2 linked regions of the Saccharomyces cerevisiae S288C genome follow. Changing the gene in region 2 together with the main gene of any one other region gives a genetic interaction. Each region holds a gene or a part of one and is shown on either strand. Other genes may lie near its edges.

Evidence for each region. A genetic interaction does not mean that the proteins touch.
Region 1: mutations in HOM3 (region 2) and BAS1 together harm fitness more than expected from each alone (negative genetic interaction), as found in Saccharomyces cerevisiae (3 studies listed by BioGRID).

What each region holds. Positions count from the first base shown.
Region 1 is NC_001143.9:634,136-638,786, forward strand, and holds BAS1 (Bas1p), read left to right. Parts: upstream 1-1,715; coding exon 1,716-4,151; downstream 4,152-4,651. Other genes in the region: ubiquitin-specific protease UBP11, read right to left, coding at 1-1,044. UniProt on the Saccharomyces cerevisiae protein: Activates HIS4 transcription only in combination with PHO2/BAS2. BAS1 is also involved in the regulation of the purine biosynthesis pathway.
Region 2 is NC_001137.3:255,855-259,599, forward strand, and holds HOM3 (aspartate kinase), read right to left. Parts: upstream 2,105-3,745; coding exon 521-2,104; downstream 1-520. Other genes in the region: JHD1 ([Histone H3]-lysine-36 demethylase), read left to right, coding at 1-280; PIC2 (Cu/Pi carrier), read right to left, coding at 2,883-3,745. UniProt on the Saccharomyces cerevisiae protein: Phosphorylates aspartate, the first step in the biosynthesis of amino acids that derive from aspartate (the aspartate family of amino acids), including methioinine and threonine, the latter of which is a precursor to isoleucine.

The sequences.
Region 1 (4,651 bases), on a different chromosome or scaffold from region 2:
GCGGGAAAGTTGGACTTCTTTCGGATATTTGTTAGTATTGAGGAATAGCCTATATTTCTTGGTTAAAAACAAATCCCGAAATAAGGTAGTGCCAAACAGACATTGAATTATACTGTTAATATAGCATGTATTGCATGGATTTTGCAGGCCAGTAATAGATAACTCTGATAACAGATCATTAGAATCTTCAATTACTGGTAGATTGTAAGCTTTCGGGGCCGAAGATTCTATGGCCTCGATCTTTCCTTCTTCCTCCTTTGGCTTTTCCACCTTGGATAAAGAGGATGAAGAATCTTGGCTAGAATCTCTGATTTGTGACGAAACCTCCAAGGAGTGCACGGGGGGAGCAGTTGCTGGACTAGACAGCGTTTTGAATAATGCATCCTTTCCAGTACTGAGTTTTAAATACGAGGGTTTTGATAATGCTTCTTTGCTTGTGTAGTACGCCACTTCAGAACCAGCTTCCAATTTATTACTTGATGCTATCTGATTACTTTCCCTGACTATGTCCTCTTTCGAATTATCATTTGTTGGTTTTGTTAGCTCATTCGGTATTTCATGTAGTGAGCCATCAAACTTGTTATGTATTGACAAAGAGGCCATATGAACAGGTAAAGGCCGTAGCGGTAAGGAGTAGGCTCTTTTTCTTTTTATGGTCCTGCAAATTCCGTTTGACTCCGCTAAATACCGGTCAACAATAACAGTACTTTCATCTCTTACCACTTTTAACACATAACCCATCACGTGTTCGTCTTGATAGTCGTTTTTTAGCTTTGCGTAACTGCTGTAGAGATTATTTCTTGTTTGGAATTGTAACGATTGTGGAATAATAAGGTACAGATAATAACAACCAATAATAAATGCTGTCAAAGCTTCCATTTCCTGATTGATTTCTAAATCCCTCAGGTAAACATTAAACAGATGAGCAGCATGGTCTAACAATCCTCTTAAGTTCTTTAGCCGTAATTGCGAATAAAACTGTTTAATATCTACTTCATATACTTTTCGAACTAGGTTTAGAATTTGATCTGGGTTTAATAACATTGTCTTTATGACTTCCGATTTAGCGAAAAGAAAACGGAAAGTAAGATCAATGCCACGGTTATTTAGTTTACTGAAGATCCTGAAAGACTACTAGCAGTAGCAGTAACCTTTCAGAGCTTATAATCAACCTAATGATTACTCAGCGCACAATCTAAAAGGGTTTCTCAACTAATTCTCGAAGAAATGTCAATCCCTTTTTTAAGCACTCCGGAAAAACTTTATAATAGATGTGGGGAAATCACCTTTGACGATGTGCAACGGAGAAACTATTTTTTTTTTTCTTTTTTTCTTTTTTTTTTTTTTTTTGGTCCGAACAATGCGATGAGCCAGACGAAGAAAAAAATAAAAAATGAGAATGAGTAATTATGTTAAGACCTTTAGAAGAAATAGGGTCCAGTCACAGAATAAAGCCCCAGGAAACTTTAAAGCAATCGAAATTAACCAGCTATATTTATATAATAAGAAATTTTTCTTATTAGTTTACTATAAAGGACTAGTGTACGTTTTTTGTGTTTAATTATTTGCTTTCTGATAATCCGGTTTGCTGATTTGAATCGTTCTCTGCAACAATTGTTGATCTCTAGTGGGGTAAACAAAATTAGTTTTGTTTAAAACTTTTGTTGTAGCGTTTTTGCTCTTTTTTTTTTATCGCAGAATACATTTTATCGAGAATGTCGAATATAAGTACCAAAGATATACGAAAAAGTAAGCCAAAAAGAGGATCCGGCTTCGATTTACTTGAAGTGACTGAATCACTTGGCTATCAGACACACAGGAAAAATGGAAGAAATTCATGGTCAAAGGACGACGATAATATGCTACGATCGCTAGTAAACGAATCCGCAAAGGAGTTAGGCTATGAGAATGGACTTGAAGACGTAAAAACAATTCAACAATCCAACCATCTTTCTAAATGTATTGCTTGGGATGTTTTAGCTACACGATTCAAACACACCGTAAGAACTTCAAAGGATGTAAGAAAGCGTTGGACAGGATCTCTGGACCCAAACTTGAAGAAAGGTAAATGGACACAAGAAGAGGATGAGCAGCTCTTGAAAGCTTATGAAGAACATGGGCCTCACTGGCTGAGTATCTCCATGGATATCCCTGGAAGAACAGAGGATCAATGTGCGAAAAGGTACATTGAAGTGTTGGGACCTGGAAGTAAAGGTAGATTAAGAGAATGGACGCTCGAGGAAGATTTAAATCTGATAAGTAAAGTGAAGGCATACGGCACGAAATGGAGAAAGATTTCGTCGGAAATGGAATTCAGACCAAGTTTAACGTGCAGGAACAGATGGCGGAAAATTATTACTATGGTTGTGCGAGGACAAGCATCAGAAGTAATAACAAAGGCTATAAAAGAAAACAAGAACATAGACATGACAGACGGAAAACTCCGACAACATCCAATCGCCGATTCTGATATACGCTCAGATTCTACACCGAATAAAGAAGAACAGTTGCAGCTATCTCAACAGAACAACCCTTCATTGATAAAGCAGGATATATTGAATGTTAAAGAGAACGAATCGAGCAAACTACCAAGATTAAAGGATAATGATGGACCCATTTTAAATGACAGCAAGCCACAAGCATTACCTCCCTTAAAAGAGATATCTGCACCTCCACCAATCAGGATGACGCAAGTCGGTCAGACTCATACCAGTGGTAGCATTAGGAGCAAAGTATCTTTACCAATTGAAGGTCTTTCTCAAATGAACAAGCAAAGTCCTGGAGGAATCTCAGATAGCCCACAGACAAGCCTTCCCCCAGCATTCAATCCAGCATCTCTCGATGAGCATATGATGAATAGTAATAGTATTTCAGATTCTCCGAAGCATGCTTATTCTACTGTGAAAACTAGAGAACCAAATTCCTCTAGCACACAATGGAAATTTACATTAAAAGATGGTCAAGGTTTGTCAATTTCTAACGGAACTATTGACAGCACAAAATTAGTAAAAGAATTGGTTGACCAAGCTAAGAAGTACTCTTTAAAAATTTCGATACATCAACATATTCACAATCATTATGTTACATCCACAGACCATCCTGTCAGCAGCAATACTGGATTGTCAAATATAGGAAATATAAATGGAAACCCTCTATTAATGGATAGTTTCCCACATATGGGTAGACAACTGGGAAATGGTCTTCCAGGGTTAAATTCAAATAGTGACACTTTTAACCCAGAATATAGGACTTCTCTGGACAACATGGATAGCGATTTTTTATCAAGAACACCCAACTATAACGCATTCAGCTTGGAAGCAACTTCACACAATCCCGCTGACAATGCAAATGAACTTGGTTCACAAAGCAATAGAGAAACAAACAGCCCGTCTGTATTTTATCCTCAAGCAAATACATTGATCCCAACTAATTCTACCGCTACAAATAATGAAATCATTCAAGGAAACGTTAGTGCTAATAGTATGTCACCGAATTTCAATGGAACAAATGGCAAGGCACCAAGTTCGACGGCATCATATACAACGAGCGGTTCAGAAATGCCACCTGATGTAGGTCCTAATAGAATAGCGCATTTCAACTATTTGCCACCAACTATACGGCCTCATTTAGGCTCATCAGATGCGACAAGAGGTGCTGACTTGAATAAGTTACTCAATCCATCTCCAAATTCAGTAAGAAGTAACGGCAGTAAAACTAAGAAAAAAGAAAAAAGAAAAAGTGAATCATCTCAGCATCATTCTTCATCATCTGTGACAACCAATAAATTCAATCACATTGATCAGTCGGAGATATCAAGGACTACATCCAGATCTGATACTCCATTGAGAGATGAAGACGGCCTGGATTTTTGGGAAACGTTAAGATCCTTGGCTACTACGAATCCAAATCCTCCAGTTGAAAAGTCAGCTGAAAATGATGGTGCCAAGCCTCAAGTGGTACATCAAGGGATTGGCTCACATACAGAAGATAGCAGCCTAGGTTCCCATAGCGGAGGATACGATTTTTTTAACGAACTGTTGGATAAAAAGGCAGATACACTGCATAATGAGGCTAAGAAGACGAGCGAGCATGATATGACGTCAGGAGGTTCTACCGATAATGGGTCAGTCCTGCCACTGAATCCTAGTTGAGAAGGCAAGGCCGAAAAAAAACACAAATCTTTCAATTGTTTAACATATTAGTTTTGTAATAAGCATAAGTGTATATTATACATAGCACAAGATGGATAATATTCTCTGAAAAAAACGTGTAGTTTCATGACTCGCATTTTTTTTTTTTTTTCTTTCATGTTGATTAACATACTTGAATTCTGTATTTAAGCTGTATAAAAAGTTGTTCTATTTCATATACGGCGATTTTGCATAATTAAGAACTTTGCCTTGTACACTATTTTACTAGGGTATTCTTCCAAGATTTCTCTTCTTATTTTTTCCCTTTATAAGTCATTGTAGCAACATAATTTCCTGGAAATTTTAAGGGAATATATTTCTTTCCGCCCACAAACACAAAGGGCGTTTAGTAAATTATGCGGCGATGTATAAAAGAGAAAGCAGGCAAAAAGAAAATGAAAAATGAGACTATGAACTTTAAGAATTATGTCTTGACTAATTTTTTAAAACCCATCATCCAT
Region 2 (3,745 bases):
ACACCTTAAAATTGTGGAAATTGAAAAGTTAACAAAGGTTCCTAGAAGATTTACCTTCCCGAAGTTTGATCAAGTGATGGGTAAATTATGCGAGTATCTTGCGCTTGATAAAAATAAAATCACTAGTGATGTCAGTGATGGGGATTTGCTTTCCAGGACCACTAATTGCGCAATTCAATCACTTCATGCATACGTTATAAAACCTGAAGTTAAGTACAAGCCGTTAAATTTCACTTCAAAGAAGCATTTAGCGAAAGCTTTAGCCGATCTTATTTCGTAAAATTTCTTCTTGTCCGCCACGTTCTTGTATCTTTTATTTCATCCTATGCTCTCGATGAATGAGATCTACTTTAGCAATTGATACAGTATAACCCTGACATTACATTTAGGGAATAATCGCCCCAATATAGGTTACAAAACATTAATATATATGTAAATATATGTGCGCGTATATATATATATATATATATATAAAGGGAAAATTAATATTCTATCATTAAAGTGAAGAAGAAAGGTGGATTTAAATTCCAAGTCTTTTCAATTGTTCTAAACGTTCATCAATGGCATGTTCAAATTGGTTTGAAGTATTTGTCCGCTCACTTAGTAACTTGGCATGAATACATTGTAGCGCTTTTATGGAGTCAGATTCATTGATAACGCAGGATATGTTTATTTCATTTGCCCCTTGAGAAATCATTTCAATGTTGATGCCTTCTTCAGCAAGAGTAGTAAACATGGTACCAGCAATGCCGATGTATTGTTTCATATGTTTACCAACTAATGAAACAATAGACAACTTCTTTGTGATATCAACAGAACCTAAAATTCTCAATTTTTCCTCAGCTTGTCTCAGAGATTTTAATGAGTCTGCATCTGGAATGGGCAAAGCCATCGAAACATGAACTTCAGAAGTAGATATTAAATCTACGACTAACTTGTACTTATCCAGGATGGTAAATATTTGAGCTAGGAAACCATGGGATAGGGTTTTCTTATTGGAATGAATGTTGATGACGAAAATGTCATTTTTGGTGGTGATAGCAGTGGCACCTCTCTTTCTCTTTTCATAGAAAGATGAGGATAAGTTCTCAGGAGGATGTGGTGGAGTAGATTCACCCTTCTTTGCTACATTATCTGGGTAGATAATGGTACCGTTACCTAATGGATTTTGAACATTCTTGATTCTAATAGGAATCTTAGCCCTAATAACTTGTTCCATCGTAAAAGGATGTATAACTTCGGAACCATAATATGTTAATTCAGAAGCTTCTTCTGGAGTAACACTGTCTAGCAAACGTGCTTCAGGAACCTTACGAGGATCAGCAGTAAATATACCATCAACTTCCTTCCAAACTTGTAGTTCATCAGCATTTACAGCAACTGCTATCAAAGCGGCACATAAATCGGTATAGCCACGACCAACACCATTCAGAAGACCAGTTGGAACTAAACCAAAAAACCCTGTAAAGACTGGAACGATACGCTCTTTAGCACTTACAAAGGGGGCCAATTTTTCTTTCAATGCTTGAACCAGGAAAGTGTAGAAACTGTTATCCAAAGCGCTGGCACTGAAATCAGAGGGAACAATGTGGCTCAAATCCACATATTTGGCCTTACAGCCACGGTCATTACATAAAGCAGTCATGAACAAACAACTCAACTTCTCACCACATGACATCACCAGATCTACTGTACGTGAACTCACTTCACCCAAAACTTTTGAAGCATTTAAATATTTCTTGACCAGTTCAAGTTCTTTATTGGTATCATCCACTAACTTGGCTTGCAAGGCAGGATTGAGAATGAAGCGGTCGGCATTATCGATATGGTCTTGTCTGATAACTTCGATAATGTCTTGAAATTCAGATTCTTGCGAAGCCAAATCACAACATTTCAAAAGACGAGAAGTGGTACCTTCAGCCTTGGTGTATGAAGAACGGGCGGAACAAACGACAGCGACATTATTGTTTGGGCCGTCAGGTTTAGAATAGTGCTTCACAATGTCATCCACTATTTGGACGGGAAATTTACCGACAGATGTACCACCGAACTTTTGCACGACCCAGTTCGAATGACTTGATGTAGGTTGGAAATCCATTGGCATGTAAAAGTTAAAAAAAATGAAAGCTTCTGTGATAAAATGCGATAGCTATGTGAGCTTAAGCGATGGAGAGAGTATTGGCTACACAAATATCCTTCAATGAGTAGAGCACTGTTAAAATAGAAATAAAATAATTATCCAGCAGTATTCTTATATATGGATATTATACATTATTTCTTCGAAGCTAAAAGAATCTCTGGAGAAGACTGCGTACGGAAAGTGAAAAAAAAAAAAAGTGATGATGAAATTTTCGTTTGCTAGTGAAAAAGAAAGAAAAGGTGAGTCATGGGCCTGAAAAATACACGTGGTTAGAGCCACAGTAGAGTAAAAAGTTGATATTAGGGGAGTTCTAGAAAGAAAAGGATCCTGTGAGACCAATGACAGTGATTGTAAATTGTGGGAGTGATATTTGATGTTACTATCAAATAAGGCCTCAGCCTCTGAATATGTTCACCTAAAAATTGTAGAAGATTCAATCGCGAGCGGCTGGCAAGTTTGGGCATGCATCGAGTATTGCCGTATATCGAAACTACCTTATAAATGTGTTTCTGATATGGCACTTTCAAAGTTTTCCTGGGCCTGTTCTTGGCTTGAGAAATTTGGCAATCATAACAAAACTCTTAGTATGAAAAGAAATTGTAGGACGAATATTTATTAAGACATATGCAAAGAAGAACAAACTATAAATGCCGGTCATTTACTAACTTTATGAAATCCTGTGTATACAATATTCCTCTAGCACAGAGTGTTTACGATAAACCTTGCCGATTGAATCGATCAGCTAACCGGTGGTTGGTAAGCCTACATAAGCCTTGAACGAATCGTAAATTAGCCATTGGAAACTTGTCAAAGTACCGATCATGACAATTCTCACCATTAACCCATTCCACAACCCAGTAAAGCCAATTTTTTGATATATTCTTTTAGAGGCTACAGACATGGACTCGTTGGCCTTTCTTTCGCTATTGATCTTGGAAACCATAACGTCTGCAGGATGTGAGACTGCAGCACATAATATACCTGCCAGATAACCACCTACAAAACTGACTGATATTTGCTGTAATGCGTTCATTTCTTCTTTCTTTTTAGGTAAAACACTGTATATTTTTTGAACAATTTTTTCGAATGAGGTAAACTTACACATTGTGTAAGGAATCTGTCTGCACCATAGGGGAACAATACCTTTATAAAATGCTTTCATACCTCCACTTTCTGCATACATTTTTTTCCATCCATCAACAACGTTATTGCAAAAGGGCGGCATAGTAGTCTGCTGTTTCACTTTAATAGCTTCAAATGGGCACAACATGATATCAGCGAGGAATTCAGCGGTCGCTGAGGCCATCAAGTACACAGTGACACCAGGACTTAACCAACTAGAATACAAATGCTTGAAATACTCATAACCACCATACTTACCTGCACCTTGTAGCGAATATCCGACGAATGTAGCACCAAACCCAGTGTATACTTTCTTCCAGCCTTCATTAGCTATAATCTTACGGAACCCTTGTAAGTTTGAAGTATACAACTTGGGATTGACCTGTAGCCTACATTTGACAAGATCTAGTGGAGTGATCGAAGAATGTGTTGGACCGCACGCAATTATACCACCTAAGGTACATGTGGCATAAAACTCTTTCG